Macaca mulatta: one gene and its partners. The protein of the gene in region 1 purifies or fractionates together with the protein of each later gene. This does not show direct contact. Links are inferred from orthologs where the notes say so. Each region holds a gene or a part of one and is shown in the gene's direction. Other genes may lie near its edges.

Evidence for each region.
Region 2: the proteins of RUVBL2 (region 1) and DKC1 purify together in Homo sapiens (affinity purification with mass spectrometry; 5 studies listed by BioGRID and IntAct, counting the BioPlex papers as one, with this or other methods). This does not show direct contact. The link is inferred for Macaca mulatta from reciprocal best matches to the Homo sapiens genes RUVBL2 and DKC1.
Region 3: the proteins of RUVBL2 (region 1) and MAX purify together in Homo sapiens (affinity purification with mass spectrometry; 3 studies listed by BioGRID and IntAct, with this or other methods). This does not show direct contact. The link is inferred for Macaca mulatta from reciprocal best matches to the Homo sapiens genes RUVBL2 and MAX.
Region 4: the proteins of RUVBL2 (region 1) and ZNHIT2 purify together in Homo sapiens (affinity purification with mass spectrometry; 5 studies listed by BioGRID and IntAct, counting the BioPlex papers as one, with this or other methods). This does not show direct contact. The link is inferred for Macaca mulatta from reciprocal best matches to the Homo sapiens genes RUVBL2 and ZNHIT2.
Region 5: the proteins of RUVBL2 (region 1) and POLR2B purify together in Homo sapiens (affinity purification with mass spectrometry; 3 studies listed by BioGRID and IntAct, with this or other methods). This does not show direct contact. The link is inferred for Macaca mulatta from reciprocal best matches to the Homo sapiens genes RUVBL2 and POLR2B.
Region 6: the proteins of RUVBL2 (region 1) and SHQ1 purify together in Homo sapiens (affinity purification with mass spectrometry; 4 studies listed by BioGRID and IntAct, with this or other methods). This does not show direct contact. The link is inferred for Macaca mulatta from reciprocal best matches to the Homo sapiens genes RUVBL2 and SHQ1.
Region 7: the proteins of RUVBL2 (region 1) and ACTR6 purify together in Homo sapiens (co-immunoprecipitation; 7 studies listed by BioGRID and IntAct, counting the BioPlex papers as one, with this or other methods). This does not show direct contact. The link is inferred for Macaca mulatta from reciprocal best matches to the Homo sapiens genes RUVBL2 and ACTR6.

Annotation. Positions count from the first base shown.
Region 1 is NC_133424.1:61,470,578-61,473,380, forward strand, and holds the end of RUVBL2 (ruvB-like 2), read left to right. Parts: intron 1-863; coding exon 864-983; coding exon of another isoform or gene 984-1,002; intron 1,003-1,374; coding exon of another isoform or gene 1,375-1,400; coding exon 1,401-1,530; intron 1,531-1,952; coding exon 1,953-2,067; intron 2,068-2,195; coding exon 2,196-2,221; 3' UTR 2,222-2,303; downstream 2,304-2,803. Other genes in the region: LHB (lutropin subunit beta), read right to left, coding at 2,444-2,686. UniProt on the Homo sapiens protein: Possesses single-stranded DNA-stimulated ATPase and ATP-dependent DNA helicase (5' to 3') activity; hexamerization is thought to be critical for ATP hydrolysis and adjacent subunits in the ring-like structure contribute to the ATPase activity.
Region 2 is NC_133426.1:161,062,818-161,066,317, forward strand, and holds part of DKC1 (H/ACA ribonucleoprotein complex subunit DKC1), read left to right. Parts: intron 1-1,328; coding exon 1,329-1,449; intron 1,450-3,500.
Region 3 is NC_133412.1:138,199,677-138,203,974, reverse strand, and holds the start of MAX (protein max), read left to right. Parts: upstream 1-1,498; 5' UTR 1,499-1,670; coding exon 1,671-1,706; coding exon of another isoform or gene 1,707-1,910; intron 1,911-2,441; coding exon of another isoform or gene 2,442-2,468; intron 2,469-4,298. UniProt on the Homo sapiens protein: Transcription regulator. Forms a sequence-specific DNA-binding protein complex with MYC or MAD which recognizes the core sequence 5'-CAC[GA]TG-3'. The MYC:MAX complex is a transcriptional activator, whereas the MAD:MAX complex is a repressor.
Region 4 is NC_133419.1:9,260,525-9,263,503, forward strand, and holds ZNHIT2 (zinc finger HIT domain-containing protein 2), read left to right. Parts: upstream 1-1,225; coding exon 1,226-2,440; 3' UTR 2,441-2,479; downstream 2,480-2,979. Other genes in the region: delta(14)-sterol reductase TM7SF2, read right to left, coding at 2,830-2,979. UniProt on the Homo sapiens protein: May act as a bridging factor mediating the interaction between the R2TP/Prefoldin-like (R2TP/PFDL) complex and U5 small nuclear ribonucleoprotein (U5 snRNP).
Region 5 is NC_133410.1:76,509,928-76,513,906, reverse strand, and holds the start of POLR2B (DNA-directed RNA polymerase II subunit RPB2), read left to right. Parts: upstream 1-1,179; 5' UTR 1,180-1,229; coding exon 1,230-1,248; intron 1,249-3,979. UniProt on the Homo sapiens protein: Catalytic core component of RNA polymerase II (Pol II), a DNA-dependent RNA polymerase which synthesizes mRNA precursors and many functional non-coding RNAs using the four ribonucleoside triphosphates as substrates.
Region 6 is NC_133407.1:136,344,080-136,348,262, reverse strand, and holds the start of SHQ1 (protein SHQ1 homolog), read left to right. Parts: upstream 1-1,383; 5' UTR 1,384-1,458; coding exon 1,459-1,601; intron 1,602-4,183. UniProt on the Homo sapiens protein: Required for the quantitative accumulation of H/ACA ribonucleoproteins (RNPs), including telomerase, probably through the stabilization of DKC1, from the time of its synthesis until its association with NOP10, NHP2, and NAF1 at the nascent H/ACA RNA.
Region 7 is NC_133416.1:107,551,678-107,555,604, forward strand, and holds the start of ACTR6 (actin-related protein 6), read left to right. Parts: upstream 1-1,127; 5' UTR 1,128-1,162; coding exon 1,163-1,230; intron 1,231-3,927. UniProt on the Homo sapiens protein: Required for formation and/or maintenance of proper nucleolar structure and function. Plays a dual role in the regulation of ribosomal DNA (rDNA) transcription.

The DNA of each region.
Region 1 (2,803 bases):
CAGAGGCCGGGCGCGGTGGCTGAAGCCTGTAATCCCAGCACTTTGGGAGGCCGAGATGGGCGGATCACGAGGTCGGGAGATCGAGACCATCCTGGCTAATACGGTGAAACCCCGTCTCTACTAAAAAAATACAAAAACTAGCCGGGCGAGGTGGTGGGCGCCTGTAGTCCCAGCTACTCGGGAGGCTGAGGCAGGAGAATGGCGTGAACCCGGGAGGCGGAGCTTGCAGTGAGCTGAGATCCGGCCACTGCACTCCAGCCTGGGCGACAGAGCGAGACTCCGTCTCAAAAAAAAAAAAAAAAAAAAAAAATAACAGAAACACACAAATGAAAACACACATAGACCCAGATTATATATATATTGATTGACGAAAATACTGTGAGTAAAGGCTCAAGAGAGCCTAACCCTGTATTCCACTAGGAGCAGTGGCTCAGGATCGGCTAATTGGAGTGTTCACGGTGACTCTCTAGAACCTCACTGCGGTGAATAAGGGGAACTGACTGTATACCCTGGTACCAGCCCTGGGCGGGCCCCGCTGCAACAGGGAACAAGACAGGTTCTGTCCCCTCCTTTGTGAAGCTTCATGTCGAGCACGGGAGTGGGACCTTGATCCAGTAATCCTCGAGGCAGAGAGCTAGCTTAAAGCAGCCCAGCTCTGCGGAAAGGTGTCCTTGGGGGACTGACAGTTGTGGAAGGCTGCGTCATCAGGGGGTGATGTCATCATGTGACAGGAGACACGAGCTAAAGGTTAAGTGGTGTTGGGCCCACTGAGTGGGTGGTGATGGGAGGTGGGAGTGTTTCCAGCAAAGGGAATGAAAAGGGAACATCCCCCTGACAGCCCCCTCTTTCTGCCTCTTCCTCAGAATCCGGGGCACCAGCTACCAGAGCCCCCACGGCATCCCCATAGACCTGCTGGACCGGCTGCTTATCGTCTCCACCACCCCCTACAGCGAGAAAGACACGAAGCAGATCCTCCGCATCCGGTGCGGGCAGGACCAGACCGTGCGCCTGGGAGGCGGGGCTGGGGTCTACCCTGTTTGACAAATGCCGACACTGAGGTCTGGCGGACTGGCATGGTGGCTGGGCCTGCAAGAGAGAGGGCTGATCTGGCACCCAGACAGTGGCCGCCGATCCGGGAGCAGGAGCCATGGTGGGAAAGGGAGGCGAGGTACCCGTGACCGGTGTGGGGGCCAGCGCCCTGGGCGTGGTCAGGAGGCCTAGGTTTTAGATCCAGCCCAGCCCCTGTCTCCGTGGCTCTTCTAGCCTCAGCATTCTATGGTTCTAAGATGCAGGCGCCACATATTCCCAGTGGGGAAGGACCAGAGGGTTGCTGTGGCCACTTCTGCTGCAGTCAGAGGCTGGGCCCTGGCTGAGCCACCCCCGTCCCCCACTGCTTGCAGGTGCGAGGAGGAAGATGTGGAGATGAGTGAGGACGCCTACACGGTGCTGACCCGCATCGGGCTGGAGACGTCACTGCGCTACGCCATCCAGCTCATCACGGCTGCAAGCCTGGTGTGCCGGAAACGCAAGGTCAGCCTGCCGAATTAGCCAGCAGGGCCAGATGGCGGCAGTGAGTGACGCACTACTTCAGGGGCTGCCAGGGTTCCAATTTCAACCTAGGATGTACATTTTCAGAGGCAGGGAATTTTCATCCCTCAAGTTGTCTTCTGTATCTCCCCGCCTGGCCTACAGTAGGTGCTCAGTAAATCTCTGTTGACTGTAAGTAGATGCTGTTAGGTCCACCTTACAGATAAAGAAACTGAGGAATGAAGAGGCTGGGCCCACAACCAGGAGATGGCCAGGCAGGTTTTGAACCCAGGCGATCTGGCCAGAATGCCCTCCCCTCACATGCCACCCTCTGCTGCCTAGAGCATGGAGGTGACATATGCTGGGGTCTGTGCCGTGAGCCTCACGGAGAGGGGCCCAACTCAGGACCCGCCCTCCCCCTCCAGGGTACAGAAGTGCAGGTGGATGACATCAAGCGGGTCTACTCACTCTTCCTGGACGAGTCCCGCTCCACGCAGTACATGAAGGAGTACCAGGACGCCTTCCTCTTCAATGAACTCAGTAAGAATCCCTACCCTGCACCTGCACTGCCAGAGCCAACCTCGGGGAGGAAGAGGGAGCTCGGCCTAGAAGGCTCAGGCCCTGCCCCCTGGGCCACACTGACCATGTGGCCTTCCTTCTCCCCACAGAAGGTGAGACCATGGACACCTCCTGAGCTGGATGTCATCCCCTGTCCCCACCCTGTTTTCTACCAGAGTTCTGACACTGTGACTTTGTATAAAATGGTTTGAAGCTGCACCCACTCTGTGTGTGGTTGCCCTGAGCCCACAGAAAGACACCTCCAGAGTGCGCACTGAGAAGCCTTTATTGCGGGAGGAACGGGGTGTCTGCTGGCTCCAGGAGTCAGGATGGACTTGGAGGGCTGGGGGGAGGGTCTTTAGAGGAAGAGGAGGCCTGGGAGTTGGGGGTGGTCACAAGTCAAAGGGTGGTCCTTGGGACCCCCGCAGTCAGAGGTGCTGCGGTGGCAGGGTCCACAACGACAGCTGAGAGCCACAGGGAAGGAGACCACGGGGTCCACGCCAGGCAGGCAGCCAGGGAGCTGGATGGAGTCGAAGCGCACCTCGCGGTAGGTGCACACCACCTGGGGCAGGGGCAGCAGGGCCGCCTGCAGCACCCGCATCTGGAGGATGTGTGGATAGGGGAGTGAGCATGTGCCTGGGGCCAGCGCCTCCGCTGACCTCCCAAGCTGCCTCCAAAGGTCCCAGACTCAGGAGTCCAGGAAGCCCTCTGTTCCCGC
Region 2 (3,500 bases), on another chromosome or scaffold:
GACTCCGCCTCAAAAAAAAAAAAAAAAAAAACATAGTAAGACCCTGTCGTCACAAAAATAAAAAATAGCCAGGTGTAGTGGCACATGTCTATATTCCCATCTACTTGGGAGGCTGAAGTGGGAGAATCGCTTGAGCCCAGGAGATCAAGGCTGTGAGCTGTGTTTTTATGATGATCAGAGAGTTGGCCTTTTATAAATTAAAGCATACTCTCTTTTCTCTAACTTGAGGGATAAAAATTTCTGGATATTTAAAATGTTTGTAGTTGGTAATTATTTATATTCAAATCTTGTACAGATGTTTGCATATTTTGTATGTATATACGCTGTAATAAATACTGAAAGATGGCACCATAATAGTTGAAAAAACTCAGTCACAAAACAGTGGACAACATAAATGTGATAACCTCTCCTTATCAAACCATTGGCTTCTGGGTGAATGTAAAGGGAGGGTCAAATGTGATCAGCAAAAGAGATCTAGGTGAGTGGAGATGGCATGAGGCAGATGGGTGCCTTGGGCACCATTGAACTTCTGGAGAGGAAGCCTTAAGTTGTACCTACTGATCTATAAATTCTGCACCAAGACTTTTGTGTGATTGGTTCAACCGGCCTCAGTAATCTTGTTTTCAAGTTCTTTAGGAGCCTCTTATTGCCTGGATCTCTAGTAAATCTATTCTTTCTCCTGATAAGGAGGAGAGAGGAGCAGTTAAGGAATGCCAAGGCTATTTTTATGTTTAAAATGAAAATACCGACCAGGTGCAGTGACTCACACTTGTAATCCCAGCACTTTGGGAGGCCAGGCCAGGCAAATTGCTTGAGCTCAGGAGTTTGAGACCAGCCTGGGCAATATGGTGAAACCCTGTCTCTATTAAAAATACAAAAATTAGCTGGGCGTGGTGGCGCATGCCTGTAATCCCAGCTACTTGGGAGGCTGAGGCACGAGAATCACTTGAACTCTGTAGGTGGAGGTTGCAGTGAGCTGAGAACGTGCCACTGCACTCCACCCTGGACGACAGAGGGAGGTTCTGCGGGAAAACAAAAAATAAAAAAATAAAATGAAAATACCTGTGAGTCTCTAGAACCTGAAAACCTGAAAGTCTTCTTTACGACTTTTAAGTCGTGTGTGTAAAGTACAGAGAGTGGTGCCTAGCACAGTGAGGTGGCTGTTGCTCTTCTGAGTCCCTTCATGCCCCTTGCAGCTAGTGGGCTATCAGTGCCATCCCTGTTTCATGGTGTCAGACCCCACCCCCTTGTTGTCTTCCTTTACTCTGGTGTGGGAGTGGGGTGGAAGGCAGCAGCTGGGCCCCTCACACATGGTGCCATCTCTGCAGGTAAATGCTATCTGCTATGGGGCCAAGATCATGCTTCCAGGTGTTCTTCGATATGAGGATGGCATTGAGGTCAATCAGGAGATTGTGGTTATCACCACCAAAGGAGAAGCAATCTGCATGGGTAAGAGGGGATGTTTATTTTTTAAATTGTAAATGTTTGTGGTTACATAGTAGGTGTATATATTTATGGGGTTCATGAGATGTTTTGACACAGGCATGCAATACATAATAATCACATCGTGGAGAATGGGGCGTCCATCTTAAGCATTTCTCCTTTGTGTTACTAACAATCCTATTTTACTGTTAGTTATTTATCTATCACCTTAGTTATTTTAAAATATACACTTAAGCTATTGATTATAGTCACCCTGTGACTATAATCTATCAAATAGTAGGCTATCAAATAGTAGGTCTTACTCGTCTTGTTCATTCATTTGATTTTTTTGTTTTTGTTGTTGGTGTTTTGTTTTTGTTTTTGCTTTTTAAGAAGACAAGAGTCTTGCTCTTTCGCCCAGACTGGAGTGCAGTGACGTGACTTTGGCTCGCTGCAACCTCTGCTTCCCAGGTTCAAGCAATTCTCGTGACTCAGCCTTCCGAGTAGCTAGGATTACAGGTGCACACCATGACACTTGGCTAATTTTTTGTATTTTTAGTAGAAATGGGGTTTTGCCATGTTGGTCAGGCTGGTCTTGAACTCCTGACCTCAGGTGATCTGCCTTTATTTTTTTTTTTTGTACCCATTAACCATCCCTACCTCCCTGCCAGCCTCCAACTACCCTCCCAGTCTCTGGTAACCATTCTTTTACTCTTCTCTGTCCATGAGTTCAATTGTTTCGATTCTTAGCTCCCACAAATAAGTGAGAACATGCAATGTTTGTCATTCTATGCCTGACTGATTACACTTAACATGATCTTCAGTTCCATCCATGTTGTTGGAAATGACAGGATCTCTTTTTTTTTTTAAGGCTGAATAGTATTCCATCGTGTATATGTACCACATTTTCTTTATCCATTTATCTGTTGATGGGCACCTCGGTTGCTTCCAAATCTTGGCTATTGTGATCTCTTTGATAACACTAATTTCCTTTATTTGGGGTATATACCCAGCAGTGGGATTGCTGGATCCTATGGTAGCTCAGTTTAGTTTTTCGAGGAACCTCCTAACTGTTCTCCATAGTGGTTGTATCAATTTACCTTCCCACCAACAATGTACAAAGGTTCCCTTTTCTCCACATCCTTTCCAGCATTTGTCATTGTCTGTCTTTTGGATATAAACCATTTTAACTGGAGTGAAATGATATTTCATTGTAGTTTTGATTTGCATTTCTCTGGTGATCAGCGTTGAGCACCTTTTCATATGCCTGTTTGCCATTTATTTATCTTCTTTTGAGAAGTGTCTATTCAAATATTTTGCCTGTTTTTTGATTGGATTATTAGATTTTTTTCCTATAGCGCCGAGTTCGTTATATATTCTGGTTTTAAATCCCTTGTCAGATGGGTAGTTTGCGGATATTTTGTCCCGTTCTTATGCATATGGATATCTAGTTTTCCCAGCACCATTTATTGAAGAGACTGGTTTTTACCCAGTGTATGTTGTTGGTACCTTTGTCAAAAATGAGTTCAATGTGGCTGTGTGGATTTGTTTCTGGGTTCCCTATTCTGTTCCATTGGTTTATGTGCCTGTTTTTATGCCAGTACCATACTATTGTGGTTACTGTAGCTCTATAGTATAATGTGAAGTGAGGTAATGTGATTCCTCTAGGTTTGTTCTTTTTGCTTAGGATCACTTTGGCTAGTTTGAGTCTTTTGTGGTTCCATGTAAAGTACCAGTGTTTTTTAACTTGTGAAAGCTTAGCTACTGTTGGATTGTCTCTTAAGACTTTAAATGCTCTGCACCCTCTTAGCGAATGAACCTTAGAGCTATTCATTTAATGGGTCCAATATGTACCAGAAGTAAGCATGTCATCAGGATTCCTTAGCTCTGTGAGCAGGCAGGCCAGCCATGGCCTATGGACAGCAGCAGAAAAGGAATCCTTAAAACTTCAAAGGTTCTGTGGCCGCAAAGGGAGTGTGCATGCCATTCCTATAGATGTCTTGAGCTGCAAGCCTGTTATGTGTATTGTTAGGTGCTTTGGTTAGGTGTTTTTTAACTTGAGAAGTTTAACATCATTT
Region 3 (4,298 bases), on another chromosome or scaffold:
GAGAGAAGGAGAGAAGGAGAGAAGGAAAGGAAGGAAGGAAGGGAGGAAGGGAGGAAGGGAGGGAGGGAGGGAAAGACAACCGATATTAAAGGAAAAAAATGTAAAGGAAAAATTACCACATTTACATTTGTCTTTTCAGCATGGATGACACTCTCACGTTGAAAAATGCATGTCACAAGAATTGTGTGTGACATATCCCCAAATTTCCACATTCAAAAGTCAGGGATAATACGGTTTTCATCCGGGAATCAGTAACTCATGGGAAAAGCTCAAGATGTCATTCATTTTGGAGACCAGATGTAAAGGAGTAGTATGGGTACTTTGTCTCAAGGTGGAAAGTGCCTTTCTTATGTTTTTTTCCTTCCCATGGGACTTGTTGCATACTCTTAAAATGGCGGCAGGGCAGACACGTTTGCTTGCACAGCTGTGAGCTGCATGCATAAAAGCAGGGATGGTTTTGGCCTAAGGCAGGGATGGTTTTGGTCTTATCCGTTATGGCATCCCCTTGTGGCACATGTTAGGTGTTCAAAAAATATTGGTGGAATGGATGTGATTACACTTCATGCCACAGTATATAAATATGATTTTAACTGGACAGGGAACTGCACAAGTTTCCCATATTGATCCTTTTTGCGATCTTAATTATGGTACTCTGAGCTGGGATACTGCCTAGACTGCCTGGGCTACAACAAACTCTAAAGGGCTTTTACTTTCACGCCCACAGTGGTTGAGGGTTCGCGTTCTGTGAATGCTGGAACCTCACGCGAGTAGCTGAGTAGCGAGGATGGTCACTCCCGGATAAATGAATACAGGATTCTCGCGGCTGGGAGCGGTCGCCCGGCGAGGTCGGTCATCCTGCCTGTCCGGTAACACCACGAAACACCTGCCACTGATACCTCCCCACCAGCTCCCGAGGGTTCGCGCCGGCATCCCGAGCCGCACCCCCTGTTCCGCCGCAGCCGGATTCCCTCCAGGGCGGGTTACGCCCCTAGGCGCAAAACAGAACCACTTCGCATCAAGAAGACAAAGTATAACCAGTCACACCAAAAAGAGGCAGCATTATTTAGACAGCCGGCTACTCCCCCAGAGACTCCACCCAGTCCCCTGGGCCCGGCGTTCAGCGCGCCGACGGTGCCCGGCTCCAGGAGCTCCAGCTCCCTCCACGTGTCCTGTCTTCCCAGCAGCCTCCTCTGCCGCCTCTGGAGGAAAATCTCCTGACAACTCGCGGTCTGCGGACTACGACTCCCAGGAGGCGCCGCGCCGCGGCTCTCCCCGCCCCCTTTCCGGGACGCGCAGGCGCCCTGGGCTCCGTCTACCAGCCTGGCTGGCGACGCCTGGATGCGGTTTCTTCCGGGATTTGTAGTTTTTCTGGAGTTACCCGGGCCGTCTGTCAAAGGGACAAAAACTACAAGTCTCGGCTGCCCCAGCGCTGCGAGCTTGGTCACGTGGCGGGGGCCGACCGGGCGTGCGTGCCGCCGTTGATCCGGTGCTGCAGTGAGGAGGTGGTTCTTGCCCGTGTTGTGTGTGTGTGTGAGTGAGAGAGCGAGTGAGTGAGTGAGTGAGTGTGTGTGTGGGGGGACTCGGCTTGTTGTTGTCGGTGACTTCCCCCTCCCCTTCACCCCTTCCCCTCCCCGCCGCCGCTGCAGTGGCCGCTCCCTGGGCTGTAGGAAATGAGCGATAACGATGACATCGAGGTGGAGAGCGACGTGAGTCCTGGGGCTTCTTCCTTCCCGTGCGGGTTGTCAGGCGGGGACAGCGGCCGGGGCTCTCAGCGGGGCGACGGCGGGAGGGGGCCGGGCCGCCGCCGCCTCCTTCCCCTTCCCCTTTCCCTCGGGGCCAGGACTGCCTCCGTCGCGTTCCCGGCTCGCTCCCCTCCGGCTCCTGGCCGGAGCGGCCTCCTGGGACTGGAGGTGGGGGGAAGACACGCGGCTTCTGGGACTCCCACCTTCTCCCGTGGGGGAGGGTGCTGCGGCCTCCCGCTCCCACCTTCCCGGGCTCAGGATCCGGGGGACAAGGATGGGGGGCGCCCGGGATCCCATTGTCCGGATCCAGGGGAAGGGGACGGCGTTCAGGACCTGCCCCTTCGGAACGCGATCCTCTCCTCCCGTGACCCGCGGATCCTGGGGGGCGAGGAAGGGCGGAGAGGGGTTGGGGGTGCCTAGATGCCCGAGCTGGGTCTGCAGGGAGGAGACAGTGCTCGAGACCCCTCTGGCCCGGGTCGGATCCCGGAAGGAGGGGCGGCGCTCGGGACCCCTCTATCCCGCTACCGGATCCCGCCGAGGGTGGAAGGGTGGGGGCAAGGGGTGGGGAGGGAGGAAGGGGTGTCGGGCTGACTCCCCACCCTCCGCTTCCTCTGCCGCCGGCATTTTCTTTCTTATTATTGAATGTTAAGTGTAAAAATAACTTCTATATTTTCTATTTTTTTTTCTCTCCTATTCCAGGAAGAGCAACCGAGGTTTCAATCTGCGGTACGTCTCCTACTCTCCATTTCATTTTTATTTCCGTTCAGTTCTATTCCTTTTTGGGGTCAGAGAGAAAAAGAGATCGTACTGTTACTTTTAATATTGTAGTAAATCACTAATGTTAACCACTAAGGTGAGGTGGGGCCTGGTTCTGGAGGGTGGGGGAGTTGCAAATCCTATCATTCTAGATTCTCAGGTGATAAGTTCAGTAAGAGGAGCTGTATGCAAAGAATTGAATTGTTCTGTAGTTTTCAAATAGGGGATCCAGCTGCCGCTATGTAAGTGGAAATGAGAAATGCAGCATTCTGAAGTCAGTGGTAGTATTATTTCAGGGCAAAGTGGTCAGAAGATTTATTTAGGAACAAGTAGATTTTAAACCATATCTGTATAATTATGTGAAGCTGAAGCCACATGCAATAATCGCCTTTAACCAAGTCATGTGACTGCTCTAGACCTGTAGAATCTAGCACAATGTGGTATTCTAACACAAAAATTGGAAATGTAGAGGAGCCAAACGTTGCATCATCAAAGTGTCACATAAAGTTATTATGGTCTGATTCTCTGTATTTGAAGAAGAGGTATAAAGAAAATTAAAAAATAGCTGAAGAAAAGTGGCATTGCAGGAAGAGCTTTGCTGAAAGGTGATGGATGAGACCATATAATGTTATCAATAATTTCTTAGGGTTTTGATATTAATGTTCCCAGTAGATGGTTCTGTGGATTTAGATATGCACTAATTTCATGTCTTTGGAGTCTGAGACAGTAATATGGGTTTTTCATGAATAGATTAGAGGGGAAAAAAAGAAAACATATAGAATAAATCAGAATCAGAGGGGAAGAGAAATAAGTATATCAGAGTTCTAATATTTGAAATTGGGAACAGTAGGAAGTGTATAGAATGGGGGTAAAAAATTTGAATGCCCATGAGGGCCATAAATAATAAAGAAAGAAGAGGTGAGGACTTGGGTACTGGAGAGCAATGCCTCTCCTAAAAAGTCAGCCACTACTGAATTCCAGTGGTTTGTTATGTAGGAGTGAAGGGTCAGTATTGCCAGATCTTCCTATTTTTTATTTTATTTTATTTTATTTATTTATTTTTGAGATAGAGTCTCGCTCTGTCACCAGGCTGGAGTGCAATGGTGCTGTCTCGGCTCACTGCAACCTCCGCCTCCTGGGTTCAAGCGATTCTTCTGCCTCAGCCTCCTGAGTAGCTGGGACTACAGGCGCACACCCCCACATCCAGCTAATTTTTGTATTTTTAGTAGAGACGGGGTTTCACCTTGTTGGCCAGGCTGGTCTTGATCTCTTGACCTCGTGATCCGCCCACCTCGGCCTCCCAAAGTGCTGGAATTACAGGCGTGAGCCACCGCGCGCCCAGCTGATCTTCCTATTTTTTAAGAAAGATTAGAAATCCAAAGCGTTATGTTATTTTTCTGATTTTTAAAATGATGTGTGGAACAACTGTTTGGGCTTGTTAGAATTTGCAGGATGTCACTTTGATACCTCTGGTATAAGAACCTAATAACCACAGGATAAAGGCAAGCCATCTCAGTTGTACCTGCTCTTCATTAGAGCAAGCAAAGATTATGCAGGTTGTCTAAGCAAATAGGCATTAAGAAAACTTATTTATTGAGAGCTCGTATTTTCTTAAAATCCGGGGATGTAGTTGTTCCAGAAATCTTACAAATTATCCCTGGGTAATAGTCATTAAAGATAATTTATTTTGTTTTATTTATCCTTGAAGTATTCTCATATACTTATGCATATATTTGAAAATTGAATTTGTTTTTTTCGTTTACTTTTATCCTTCATGTTTGGGGCCTAGTCTGTTGAAAA
Region 4 (2,979 bases), on another chromosome or scaffold:
CTGCACTTAATGAGATGGATGAATAGTGGTATTTAATAAGATACTTAATGAAGAGTCAGTTTTGGAGGAAAAATAGGAGCTCAAATATTTCTTTTTTTTTTTTTTTTTTTTTTTGAGACGGAGTCTCGCTCTGTCACCCAGGCTGGAGTGCAGTGGCCGGATCTCAGCTCACTGCAAGCTCCTCCTCTCGGGTTCACGCCATTCTCCTGCCTCAGCCTCCCAAGTAGCTGGGACTACAGGCACCCGCCACTTCGCCCGGCTAGTTTTTTGTATTTTTTAGTAGAGACGGGGTTTCACCGTATTAGCCAGGATGGTCTCGATCTCCTGACCTCATGATCCGCCCATCTCAGGCTCCCAAAGTGCTGGGATTACAGGCTTGAGCCACCGCGCCCGGCCTCAAATATTTCTTAAATACTGCTTTTTGTTTTTTTGAGGTGGAGTTCCTCTCTGTGGCCCAGGCTCCCAGGCTGGAGGGCGGTGGCGCGATCTCAGCTCACTGCAACCTCCACCTCCTGGGTTCAAATGATTCTCCTGCCTCAGCCTCCGGAGTAGCTGGGACTACAGGCACCCGTCCCTCACGCCCGGCTAATTTTGTATTAGTAGAGATGGGGTTTCTCCATGTTGGTCAGGCCGTGGTCAAACTTCTGACCTCAGGTCATCTGCCCGCCTTGGCCTCCCAAAGTGCTGGGATTATCGGCGTGAGAGCCACCGCATCCGATCCCAACTGCCCTTTTATTCGTCTGTGTCCTCTAGTGCATTTTATTTGTCTGTGTACAGCGCAGGGATGCATCGCCTTTCTGAGGCTTGGCACAATTAGTGGCCCAGGGTAGGTGTTTAGTAAAGTGGATTTCTGCCACAGCGCATTATAGAGCTAAAGAGAGAGGGTTTTCTCTTTAGATGATCGGGCCACGTTTTGGTGTGACCGCTAGGGGGAGAGGTGGCACCGGCGGAGCGCTCGCCAGACCCATTTTTCCGCTCCTTGCGTCATCGCACAGGGCGGGGCTCGTACCTGACGCCCGGCGTCTGGGCCTGCTCTCACCCTACTAGGGAAAGGGGTGGGGCTCGGCTTTCCGGCGTGGGCGGAAATTGCTCAGAATCCTCGGGAGCTTTGCGAAACGACAGACCGTCGTCGACCCCGCGGTGAGCCGGAAGTAATTGAATAAGCCCCGGAAGTTTGGAACTATCGCCGGCGTGCGTTCGCAGGTAGATCGCGGTGCCGGTTGCTATGGAGCCGGTCGGGCCTTGTGGTTTCTGCCCGGCGGGGGAGGCCCAGCCCGCGCGTTACACCTGCCCTCGCTGTAATGCGCCCTATTGCTCGCTGCGCTGCTACCGGACGCATGGCACCTGCGCAGAAAACTTCTACCGTGACCAGGTGCTGGGAGAGCTCCGCGGCCGCAGCGCCTCGCCCAGCCGCCTGGCAAGCGCCCTACGCCGGCTGCGTCAGCAACGCGATACCGAGGACGAGCCTGGGGAAACAGGCCTTAGCCCCGGCCCGGCGCCCGGCGGCCTCTCGGGACTGTGGGAGCGGCTGGCGCCGGCCGAAAAAACTGCCTTCGAGCGGCTGCTGAGCCGTGGTGAGGCCGGGCGGCTGCTTCCTCCATGGCGGCCGTGGTGGTGGAAGCGCGGAGCCGGACCGTGGCGGCTTCTGGAGGAGCTGGATGATGTCCCGGGCAGTGATGCCGCGGGGCTGGAGCCCGCCCTTGCGAGGACCCCGCCGGAATCTATGAACGATGCCTTCGCCGCGGAGCTCGCGGCTGCCGAGCTGGTTCTTGGAGATGTCCCGGGGGCCTGCACGCCCGCCATACCCACCCGCATCCCCACGCTGGTCAGCCTGAGCCGCGGCCCAGTCTCGCCGCTCGTGCGCTTCCAGCTGCCCAATGTGCTGTTCGCCTACGCGCATACTCTCGCCCTGTATCACGGCGGTGACGACGCACTGCTCTCTGACTTCTGTGCTACACTGCTCGGCGTTTCCGGAGCCCTGGGTGCCCAGCAAGTCTTCGCCTCTGCGGAAGAAGCCCTGCAGGCCGCAGCCCACGTGCTGGAAGCAGGCGAACACCCGCCTGGGCCCCTGGGCACACGAGGGGCTATGCACGAGGTCGCTCGCATCCTGCTGGGTGAGGGCCCGACCAACCAGAAAGGCTACACGCTGGCAGCACTGGGAGACCTGGCAAAGACCCTGGGCCGTGCCCGGAAACAGGCTGTGCTTAGAGAAGAGCGAGATCATCTTTACCGGGCCCGGAAAAAGTGCCAATTCCTCCTGGCCTGGACCAATGAAAATGAGGCGGCCCTCACACCCCTGGCTCTAGATTGCGCCAGGGCTCACCAAGCCCATGCTGTGGCAGCCGAGGAGGTGGCCGCCCTCACTGGGGAGCTGGAGCGGCTTTGGGGAGGCCCCGTGCCACCTGCCCCAAGGACTCTCATTGAGGAGCTCCCTGGCTGAACTGGGGACCCTGGTCATTAATAAAGCTGTGAGTGGTCAGCCCTGTTGCCTGTTTCTGAAGGATAGCTATTGTCCTACCAGGCCCCCAGAGTCCTGGGCCCACAAGCCACTGCTCAGCTTCTCCCTGATCAGTGCTGACCCAGCCAGTCCTAGGGGAGAGAAGTGCACCAATGGTTCCCAATGTTTATCCAAAGGAGGAAGAGCATCTCCGATTTTGGTCACTGGTTTCATTTTTTTCCTTGCTCTAAACCACCTCTTCTCTGAGGCTGTTCATCCTCAGGGCTGGGTGGGGTACAAGCCCTTGAGTCCCAAGTGTGTCCAGGCTCCTGGTCTTGGGTGTGCTGGTGGATGAGTGGGCATATGCCCCCACCTGGGGTGGTGGAGCCGCTTCAGTAGATGTAGGGCACGATGCGGTAAGGCACACGCCGGCAGTACTCCTGCCATGCCAGGCCATACTTCTGCAGGCACTGCCGCTCATCCCGGGCCTCACGGTGCACCAGCAGCGCGGTGAAGTAGAGGAGGTAGAAGTAGGGCAGCAG
Region 5 (3,979 bases), on another chromosome or scaffold:
GGAGGCACTGGAGGATTGAGCTAGATGGGCAGAAGAGAGCGATGAGCGTTTTGAGTTTTTTCACTTTCAGGCTTAACGCCTCACTGCTAGCCCAAGCCGCCCGTAATAAATCACATTTAAAAAGGAGCTTCCGGGCCGGGCGCGGTGGCTCACGCCTGTGATCCCAGCACTTTGGGAGGCCGAGGCGGGCGGATCATGAGGTTAGGAGATCGAAACCATCCTGGCTAAGACGGCGAAACCCTGTCTCTACTAAAAATACAAAAAATAAACCGGGCGTGGTGGCGGGCGCCTGTAGTCCCAGCTACTCAGGAGGCTGAGGCAGGAGAATGGCGTGAACCCGGGAGGCGGAGCTTGCAGTGAGCCGAGGTCGCGCCACTGCACTCAAGCTTGGGCGACAGAGCGAAACTCCGTCTCAAACAAAACAAAACAAAACAAAACAAAACGGAGCTTCTGGCCGGGCGCGTGGCTGGAACGGTAGGCGAGCGGGCAGCTCGCCTCTAATCCCAGCACCTTGGGAGGCCGAGGCGGGCGGATCACCTGAGATCGAGACCAGCCTGGCAAACGTGGTGAAACCCCGTCTCTACTAAAAATACAAAAATTAGCCGGGCGTGGTGGCGCGCGCCTGTAATCCCAGCTATTTGGGAGGCCGAGGCAGGAGAATCGCTTGAACCCGGGAGACGGAGGTTGCAGTGAGCCGAGATCGCTCCACTGCACTCCAGCCTGGGCAACAGAACGAGACTCCATTTCAAAAAATAATAAACAAATAAAAATAAAAATTGCTTCGTGTTTTGGTCTTTATAAAGGCAAATCAATTGAGCATCCCAATGTCGCGGATTCACAGAACGAGCACTTTTTATTAATAAGTATACTTGGCTTTGTTTTCAGGTGTCGTTATTTGTGCAACGACATTGAAAAACAAGCAGAAATAAAACATTAACGGGACGGATGCGACAGCAGATTGCGGGAGCTGTCCTCTCAATCAGCCACCGGCAGCGGCGGCCCACAATTTGCGCGTGTGCAACCCAACTCCCGCCCAAGCTTGCCCTACAATTTGCGCAGGCGCAGATCCTAACTTTGGCGTCCCTGTGGGCGGCCTCTTGTGTGAGACGCACAGTATTCTGGGAACGTCGGAGACGGAAGTTACTTGGTCTTTAGCTCCCGACGCTGGTGGCTTCTGCGCGCTTTTTGTCTTTGATTTCGAGTTAGGAGCTCGGGAACCGTTTGGCAATATGTACGACGCGGATGAGGGTAGGTGAAACACATGCCACGGCGGTCCAGCAGGGAAGCTTGGGGAACTGATTGGATTGATGATTGGGGCCTTCCCTCCCGCCGGCCGGACAGTCCCTAGCCTTGTTCCCACACCTTTCAGGCCGGGAACGAAACTGGGGTAGGGAGAGGCAGAGGGTGCAGGGAACACAGCGTTAATGTTCCCGGTTAGGTTCACTGCTGCTCTGCACTTTCTCGTTCCCTTAGATCTGATCCTCGCTTCCTGTAGTGAAGTAGCGTGCAGAACCGTAAGATAAATTCCGTGGTTTTGAATTTGAAGCAAAGAGCACCCTTTAAAATTTTTCCTTAAAGCCACAGTCGACTTACTGAATAGCTGAAGTGTTGAGTGTCAGCCTGTGTCAGGCAGTGTGGAAGGCCCTGGAAATATATCGGGACAGAGAATATCGGGGGGGAGGGTGGGAGGACTCGGTTTAGTCTGACATTTCTTCATGCTGTTTGTAAGTCAAAGTAAATTGTCTTAAAGGATGGCGTTTAAATTTCCTCTTCTCACAGTGTCACAGTTCTCACAATGTCACAGTTCTCAGATGATATGTATTCTGCTACACTGGACCAATGTATAATATCTGTTTCTTTGCGCATATGGAATTCTTAGTAGTGGCCGAGCGCGATGGCTCCCACCAGCACTTTGGGAGGCCGAGACGTGCAGATCGTTTGAGGCCAGCCTGACCAACATGGGGGAAATCCCGCATCTACTAAAAATACAAAAATTAGCCGAGTGTGATGGCGCGCGCCTGTAATCCCAGTTATTCGGGAGGCTGAGGCCACATCGCTTGAGCCCAGGAGGCAGAGGTTGCAGTGAGCTGAGATTGCGCCTCTGCACCACAGCCTGAATGACAGAGTAAGACTCTTGTCTTGAAAAAAAAAAAAAAAAAAAAAAAAAAAACAGAATTCTTAGTTGAATCTAGTGTATTTTCATAGCTGCCTTTTCTATTCTCCATATCTACTAATGCAAATCTTATTTTCTTCTAGCTCTCAATTCCTTGGCCACCCCTTACATCTCCTCTCTTTATTCCCTCAGCTACTTCTGATAAATGAGATGGAAAAAATTGAAGCAAAAGCTTAAACTTTTTAAAAAATTTTTTTTGAGAGATAGGGTCTGGCCATGTTGCTCAGGCTGTTCTCAAACTCCTGAGCTCAAGCCATCTGCCTGTCTCAACCTCCCAAAGTGCTGGGATTACAGGCGTAAGCCACTGTGCCCAGCCAAAAACTTAAACTTTTAAAGCTGTTTAAACTTCTGTCTCATTTATATCTTGTGTTCTAGAAATTTATTAGCATCATTATAGTACTTGTTCTTTTTAACTGTTATCTCAGTAGAAGAAAAATTCGAAAAAAAGATTTTTTAAAGCATAATTTTTGGCTAGGTAATACATTCTCAGCTCACAAGCCAGAAAGTTTAAAAACGTTAAAGTGGGGTGGCTGGTACAGTGTCTCACGCATGTTATCCCTGCATTTTGGGAGCTTGAGGTGGGTGGATCGCTTGAGCTCAGCAGTTCAAGACCAGCCTGGGCAACAGGGGAGACCCCCTCTCTATAAGAAATGGAAACATTAGCTGGGTGTGGTGGTGCTCACCTATAGTCCCAGCTACTTGGGGAGCTGAGGCAGGAGGATCGCTTGAGCCTTGGAAGTTGACACTGCTGTGAGCCAAGAACAAAGTGAGACCCTGTCTCAAAAAAAAAAAAAATTAAAGTGTCAGGTCTCCTTCTTACCCACCATCTGCCCAGTTTGAACTCTCCACAGTGGGTAACTACTGTTACAATAGATTTTAATCACTCCGCAGTTTCTTTTTTTTTTTTTTTTTTTTTGACAGTCTTGCTCTGTTGCCCAGGCTTGAGTGCAGTGGTGCAATCTTGGCTCACTGTAACCTCCGTCTCCCAGGTTCAAGCAGTTCTCCTGCCTCAGCCTCCCTAGTAGCTGGGATTACAGGCGTGCACCAACATGCCCAGCTAATATTAGTATTTTTAGTAGAGACAGGGTTTCTCCACGTTGGCCAGGCTGATCTCAAGCTCCTGACCTCAGGTGATTCACCTGCCTCAGCCTCCCAAAGTGCTGGGACTGCAGGTGTGAGCTACTGCGCCCAGCCTCCACAGTTTCTTTATGCATATTTGAGCAAATATAAATGGGATTTTTCTCCTTTTTTAAAGACAGAAAGTAATATTCACACTTTTCTCCACTTTTAGATTTTGCTTAATGTATCTAGATTTTTGTATCAGTACACAGAAAGCATCGCCCCCGCCCCTTCGCCCACTCCGCCAGTTACTTAGTTTGTGTGGATGTACCATAACTTAAGTAGTCTCTTGATGGATATTTGATTTATTTCTAGTCATTTTCGGGTTCAGTGCTGTAAATGAATAATCTTGTACATATAATTTGCCCAAGTATGTCTGTGGGATGCATTTCTACATATAAAATTGTCACGTCAAATGATACACACCTTTAACATTTTGCTAGATGATGCCAAGTGACCACCATAGTGGTGATTTGTACTAGTTTTGCAATGTATAATGATCCCGTGCAAAAAAGAGTTTATCATAGTTGCTTTAGCAGTGAGCCTACATTTTATTCTTGCCCATGTCCTCTGAAATGTTTATTAGATAATGTCCTCATCAGTTTTCAGCCACTATGTGAAAATGTCAGATTTCTGTCATCCACATGGAAACAAGTTAAACTTTTCATTTTTTCCTTTTTCTTCTAG
Region 6 (4,183 bases), on another chromosome or scaffold:
TTCCCATTGCACCACTTACTAACTGTGAGATCCTGTGCAAGCCAAGGGAATATATAACGCCTACTTCATAGAGCTGTCAGGAGGGAAAATGAGATCATTATAAAGAGTTTGCTGCAGTGCTAGCACATAGTAAGTATTCAGTTAATGTTAGCCCGTTATTTTTTTTTTCTGAGTCCTAATGAAATTTCAACAATGTTTCCTTAGAATCATAAAACAGTTGGAGATTGAAAAGTCTTTTGAAGTTTTCTGGTTATCTCCACTGTCCTAGGATATGACTTTCATCTCCTTTCCACTGATACTTAAAACCATGGAATAAATACCGCAACTGGATTATTCTAATTAGTGGTGGAATAACAGGAAACGACATGTGTGGAAAGACCAAGGGAATATGTGGGGGAAGAGGGAGACTAGTGGGAGAGGCACGGAGAGAGTATAAGGGGCACACTCCAAGGGGAGAAAATACAGGGAAGACAAGTAGGAAAAAAAAAAAAAAACAAAACACAGAAAAGATGTCCTCAGACAAGTGTAAGGACAAGAGTGAGAAAAAGGAAAGAAGGGGAATACAGAGGGATCTTAATTTGTGAATGCAATCACCGACACGGTGTAAGAGGCAAACGTTCTGAGTTCTAATCACTGTAAAATGCATGGTTATAAAATATACTCTTAACCTCTGTGAGTCGTTTTCTTTAGAGTTTGCAGCGTGGATTAGATGAGATTAGTGGGATGGATGATCTGTTAAAGAGAAAACTCTTCAAATAAGCGGTTAAGAATGAGAGAGAAAGCTGCAGAAAAAGAGAAGTGGAAAGAGAGAGGGAGGAAAGGGAAAGTGTAAGAGGAATTGTTAATAAGGCAGGTGAGGACTAAGGGAAACCACTGTAACGGTGCTGCTGTGGCTACTGCGGTGACTACTTCAGCACATCAAACGTTGACAACTTGCCAAGTTCGTTATTAGAGTTCTACATGCACAACTTCATGCTACCCTCATAGCATCTCTATGGGGCCAGGTTCTCGTATCATCCTCGTTTCACAGAAGATATAGAGAGGTTTTGTAACTTTCCCAAGGTCTTACAGCTGGGAAGTTGTGGCCAGGAAGGGATTCAAACGCACGTCTGTCCACCTGCCAAGCCAGTGTTGTTAAAATCATCTCTAAAAACCTCGCAAAAGGCTTGGTTGCTAGTCATCCGGTCGGTCCAATGCCTGGGCCCAGGCACCACTCGCCACGTCCTTTCTCCTCCCGGCGGTTTCGAAAGTTCCACCTCTTCTCGAACGGCGTCCCGTCTCCGTGGAGATCGGCGTGGGGCGGGACTTCCTGCCCCACGCGAGAGCACTTCCGCCTCGAGCCGGAAGCTCTGTGGCTCACACCGCGGGTTCCTGCGCGTGGGGAATTGTAGAGTTTGCGTGGCGGGAACGCGGCGGCAGTGAGAGCGAGTGGCGCCGGCTGTTGCGTCCGGTGCGGCGATGCTGACCCCGGCGTTCGACCTCAGCCAGGATCCGGACTTCCTGACCATCGCCATCCGCGTGCCCTACGCCCGGGTCTCCGAGTTCGACGTCTACTTTGAGGGGTCCGACTTCAAGTTCTACGCCAAGCCCTACTTTCTCAGGCGAGTTCTGGGTGCCTGGCCGCAGGAAAGGCGCATTCGTTAGATAGCGGCTTTAGAGGGAGAATGCAAGGTCGAGAGAGCAGTTCTCGATTGCGCGAATGCCATTTCCCGACGTTTCCACAGCTTCTCTTGGTGACAGGGCAATGCCCTCCCTCTTCCAGGGGTGCGTTTTAGATGCTGCAGAAGCCCTTTTCCTTCTTAAGCTTTCTTAAATCCCACATCAAAGGATTGCGGAATCACTTGAAAAAGTGGCGTTTGGACCGTGTCACTTGCCCGTTTCTGCCCTGTCGCCCTAGTTCTCGTTCCATTTTGACTTGTTCTGTTCTTTCACTCCGCGTTCGCTCTCCCAGTCTCTCCCTCCCTACGAACGGCGCGCGCTGACATCCCCGTGACTTCCCAACCCATCGGTCCTTTTAACTTTGCTCAGGCAGCCTTCTGTTGATCCATCTCTTGTCTGTCCCCTCCCTACTTCCTGAAATTCTTACCTTTTTTGGACCTCTTGACACCATATTAGCCTAGTTCTCGTGCTTCCCTGCTGTCTGCTGCTTCTCTGTTTGGTTTTGCCCCTGATGTGTGGTTATTTCCCCCAAGTCTTCGTGAGGGGCCGTCAGTACTTGATCTGTTTAAATTATTCTCCTTGCAGAATCGTAACCTTAGTAGCAGCTAACACTGATCACCCGCAGTGTGGTGGACAAGCAGTTCCGTTAAGTGCTTTGTAATGCCGTATCTCATTTAACTTTGACAGTGTTGCTTAGGGATAAGCACTGCTATTAACCCCATTCCACAGAACCCGCTGCTACATATTCATCGTAAAGCATTGCCAATCTTTTGTCCTTCTCTTTATCCATCCTCCTAATTTTTCTCAAGTGCAGCTGCAGCCTGCTTTTCCCACCCAAGTACTTTTGTGATACAAACCTTCTCCACCAGTCAAGGTGGTTTTTTCGCTGTTCCTGAACCAGTTTTGCTCGGATTTCCCTTATACCGTGTAACGTACCTATTTGAATATATTGCAGTTTCCAGTTTCTTAATTCACTTATTTCTTTAGTTTGTTTATTGAGTTTCAGTGTTGGGATTATTGCGCTGAACAAGACAAAGTTCTGCCCTCATGTACTTTACACTGGGGAGAGGAAAACAATAAACTAGCCGTCTACCTAATTGTGGCAGGTGCTATGAGGAGAAAGAAGTGCATGATATAGAATGAAAAGGGGCCCATATTTTATAAAGTAGTCAGGAACAGCCTTTCTGGGGAGGCGATATTTAAGCCAGGATGTGAAGAATAGGAAGATTATGGTGGTAGCAAATATTTATTGAATTTTTACTCCAGATTGGTGCTTTATACGGATTATCTCATTTGTTATTAGGAGAGTATTACAATGAGGTTTTATTATTTACCCGTTGCCGTGGATGGATTATTTATGGGCACCCCCCCAACTCTTGCCCCCAAATTCATATGTTGAAGGTCTAATTCCGGTGTCACTTCTGCTTTATTGTATTCATCAAAACAGTCCCAGAGCCTGCTGAATTTTAAGAGGAGGGGACATAGACCTTCATGGTTGGGAAGAGTGCTGTGAGATGGGCATTCTTTGAAAATACAGTTTGCCCCCAGGTGTGGTGGCTCACGCCTGTAATCTCAGCACTTTGGGAGGCCAAGGTGGGCAGATCACTTGAGGTCAGGAGTTTGAGACCAGCCTGACCAACATGGTGAAACCCCATCTCTACTAAAAATATAAAAAAATTAGCTGGGCTCGGTGGCACGCACTTGTAGTCCTAGCTACTTGGGAAGCTGAGGTGAGAGAATCATCTGAACCTGGAAGGCGAAGATTGCAGTGAGTCAAGATTGTGCTATCGCACTCCGGCCTGAGTAACAGAGCAAGACTATGTCTTAAAAAAAAAAAAATACAGTTTGCTGTGGCATACCAAGGACGAATAAAACCTGGTCCCTCTCCTTGAAGAACGGAGAGTGTAGCTGGGGAGGCACCCTGTAAGCAAATATGATTTCCTATGCAGTAAGAATTGAACTCTAGGCTTTTAGAGTTTAGGGGAAGGGAGCTGGTAATAATAGCTATTTTCTGAATGCTCACCTATTGTGCCAACCACTGAGCTCTTTGCATTTTCATTTCATGCTCATAGTAACTCATGGATAGTTACTGTTATTTCCCTCCTTTACAGAAGAGAGATTTATGATTCTTGAAGAATGATTAACTTGTACAAAGAAGGTTGTTACACATCTAGTAAATGGCAGATCTGGGAGTTAATTCAGATTCTGACACTAAAGTTAGTGTTTGTAACCATTATAACAAACTCATCCATAAACTGACTCCTTATTCTGGCTTAGAGGGATTTTCATTCTGAAAATGTATTGAAGCTTGAGGAAACCTTGGGACTAAAGGCTCTGGGCTGTTTGGGACTGTCAGGTGTTTTTGTTTTTAATTGTATTTAATGGGAAAGAAGGGGGAGGGCCATGGGAGGAAAGGAAGCTCAAATTTCAAGTTTGGAATGATACGGAGTGGGCCTGAGATGCCCTTCTGATGAGTTTAAATTATCTAGGCAATATCAGGCAGCCATAGACGTTTTTTAAAATA
Region 7 (3,927 bases), on another chromosome or scaffold:
CGCGCGGGACCCGCCCCGGGCTCTTCGGCCTCCCCCTTGCCGTCGCTGACCTCCTCTGGCCGGGCTCCGGCCCCGGTATCGCTGCCTGCGCGCCAACCATAGGTGCCCGGGCCCCCGCGCCTTCGCGCTGCCACTGCTGCGCTCCCTGCCCCCGAGGCGCCCCCTCCCCGCCGCCCCGCTCCTCCTGCAGGCGCTCAAAGTGGCCTGGGACTTGCAGTCGCCTCCCGGCCCCTCCAAGCCCGCTGGCAGTTGTCCTCGCCCGCTGGCCGTTGCCCCCGCCCGCTGGCCGTTGCCCCCGCGGCGCCCCGGAGGCCAGGTCCTGCCTCCCGCACCTGCCAAGTCCCCGCACTGCAGGAGTCTCGCTCTGTCGCCCAGGCTGGAATGTAGTGGAGCCATCTCGGCTCACTGCAACCTCCGCCTCCCGGGTTCAAGCAATTCTCCTGCCTCAGCCTCCCGAGTACTTGGATTACAGGCACCTGCCACCTCTCCCGGCTACTTTTTGTATTTTTAATAGAGACGGGGTTTCGCCGTGTTGGTCAGGCTGGTCTCGAGCTCCTGACCTCAAGTGATCTGCTTGCCTCGGTCTCCTAAAGTGCTGGGATTACAGGCGTGAGCCACCGCGTCCGGTCCAAAAGCCATTTTTGGATGAGAAAGACTCAGCTGCGTCCTGAAGAGCAAGTGGAATGGGGAAGAGGACGGTATGAATGTGAGTCCAAGAGCAAGGCAGTCGATAGACCTTCTTACTGCGTATGGTTTTGCACTTTTTTCTTCAAAGAATGTCACCGTCTGAAGAATGCTATCGGAAGACACACACATATACACACACAAGCACACACACACAGCACGCAGCCGGTTCTCTACAGGATTAGAAAAAAGTTGCGCAAATCAATCTGCGCAGTTAAAAACAAATACGAAATGAGCGAGAAAGCACTTAGCAGTCAAATCTCGCCACCACATAAACAGGTTAAGTTTGGAAGCACAGCGGACACTCCCTAACAGTTTGTGGGGCTTAGCATCTCCGACTTCCGGCGTTCACCGTTGCTAGGGTGACCAGAGGCGCGTCCTAATGCTCCGCCCAACAAACCATAGAGTACCGGAAAAGGCTCGAGCAGAGGGGTCGGAAAGGGAAAACAACGGCGGCTGCGGTGTGGTTGGTGGTGAAATGACGACCTTGGTGCTGGATAACGGAGCTTACAACGCCAAAATCGGTTACAGCCATGAAAATGTGTCGTAAGTGCTTTCTTTCTCCGAGGGACAAGATATATATGCCTAGTGGTTTCATGTGCTACGTTTCATCTCCGGACATCAATGAACTGCAGACGCCCCCGCGCGGCCCTGACTTAGCCAGAGGGATTCCCTGGTTGGAGCTGGGTGGGTGGTTGTGATGCTTTGAATTGAAATTGATTTTGGTTTTAGTTTTGGGCTGCGAGGCCCCGGAAGTGGGATGTCTGTTTTATTTCTTAAGAGGAAATAGCCAAGGAAAATAGACTTTTAGAGATGCATTCCTAACAGAAGGGTCCGTAAAATTCATCAGCCTTTGGAAACTGGGCAGCGTGTTTGGGTGTATGTGGATTTTCCTGGGTACAAGATTATAGGTTTCATTAGATTCTCAAAGGGTTCTATGACCCCCTAAAAGTCTAAAAATCACGGTTTTAGGATCTAGAGGCTTTGAAGACTGGCCTACTGGCCGACCTAGTTGGTAAGGTCAGTTAAACAGAAGTACTATTAATACAATGGCATTCATAACATGTATAGTCATAAAATATATGTTTGAATAAATAAGTAAACTTAAAGTCACGCCTTCCCTTTATCAAATTAACAGAGCATTAAAAAAAATTCTTATCTTCCTTCCTCCTTTCCTTCTTTTTCATTTATTTTGAAAAAGAGGGAAATCAAACTGAGTAGGAATGTAAATTGTTACAGCCGTTCTGGAAAACGTTTTGGCAATGTGTATCGTTATCATTGTCGCAGAGGCTGGAGTGCAGTGGTGCGATCTCAGCTCACTGCAGCCTGAATTCAAGTGATCTTCCCGCCTCAGCCTCCGGAGTAGCTGGGATTATAGGCGTGCGCCACCACGCCCGGCAAATTTTTTGTATTTTTAGTAGAGACGGGGTTTCACGGTGTTGGCCAGGCTGGTGTTCAGTCCCTGGCCTCAAGCAATCTACCTGCGTTGGCCTCCCAAAGTGCTGATATTACGGGTGTGAGCCACCACACCTAGCTGACACAGCAATTCTTTTTTTTTTTTTTTTTTTTATTTTGGAGAGGGAGTCTCGCTCTGTCGTCCAGGCTGGAGTGCAGTGGCACCATCTCGGCTTGCTGCAACATCTGCCTCCCGGGTTCAAGCCATTCTCATGCCTCAGCCTCCCAAGTAGCTGGGACTACAGGCGCGCGCCACCGTGCCCAGCTAAGTTTTGTATTTTTAGTAGAGATGGGGGTTTCACCATATTGACCAGGCTGGTCTGAATTCCTGACCTCGTGATCTGCCTGTGTCGGCCTCCTAAAGTGCTGGGATTACAGGCGTGAGCCACCACGCCTGGCCACGACACAGTAATTCTATTATTACTTAGAGAATTAATTAGAAGTGCTTTGTATTATTCATAGACATCGTATACAGGCAGCCAAAAAATGGGAAGCAAGCTAAATAATCAGGAATAGCATATTGGCTAAATACATCAAAATACAACCATGAGATTGTTAACAAATTCAGCTTCTTAAAATTATGTCTTCAAAGAATATTTAAACATGTAGAGAAAATGTTGACAGTATTATAAGTGAAATAAGCAGGTATAAAACATTTTTTACAGTATTATCCCAGTGTCGTGTTGTATGTGTATAATTGATAATGGCTCTAGTTTGGCTTCCAAACCAGATTGTAAGCTCATGGCAAACAGCAAGAGGCCGAGGGGGGTGGATCACGAGGTCAGGAGATGGAGACCATCCTGGCTAACACGATGAAACCCTGTCTCTACTAAAAATACAAAAATTAGCCAGGTGTGGTGGCGGGCGCCTGTAGTCCCAGCTACTTGGGAGGCCGAGGCAGGAGAATGGCCTGAGCCCAGAAGGCGGAGCTTGTAGTGAGCTGAGATTGGGCCACTGCACTCCAGCCTGGGGCGACAGAGAGAGACTACGTCTCAAAAAAAAAAAAAAAAAAAAACGTAGTTGCTATTTCTGTACCCCGTAGCAGCAGCAGTCTCCAATCTTTTTTGCACCAGGGACTGGTTTCATGGAAGACAATTTTAACATGTGGTTGGGTGTATGGGTTTGGGTGACGGTTTTGAAATGAAACTGTTCTCAGGTATTAGATTCCCACAAAGAAAAGTGTGCAAACTAGATCCCTTGCATGCACAGTTCAAAATAGGGTTCGTCCTCCTGTAAGAATCTAACGCTATGGATGATCTGACAGGAGATGCAATTTAGATGTTAATGCTCATGGCCCCACCCGCTTTCCCCACCCTGGTGCTCACCTCTTGCTATGAAGGCTTGATTCCCAACAGACCACAGACAGGTAACGGACCACAAGCCCTGCAGCTGGGGACCCCTGCCCTATAGCATCTTGCTGATTGAAGGTCTTTGGCTTCATGGAAACTTAATTTTTTCTTTTTCTTTTTTTTTTTTTTTTTTTTCTTTTGAAACAGTCTTGCTCTGTTGCCCAGGCTGGAGTGCAGTGGCGTGATCTCTGCTCACTGCAATCTCCGCCTCCTGGGTTCAAGCAGTTCTCCTGCCTCAGCCTCCCCAGTAACTGGGATTACAGGCACGCACCACTATGCCCAGCTAATTTTTGTATTTTTTAGTAGAGATGGGGTTTCACCATGTTGGCCAGGCTGGTCTTGAACTCCTGATCTCATGATCTGCCCGCCTCAGCCTTCCAAAGTGCTGGGATCACATTCGTGAGCCACCGTGCCCAGCTAGAACCTTAATTTTTATGGC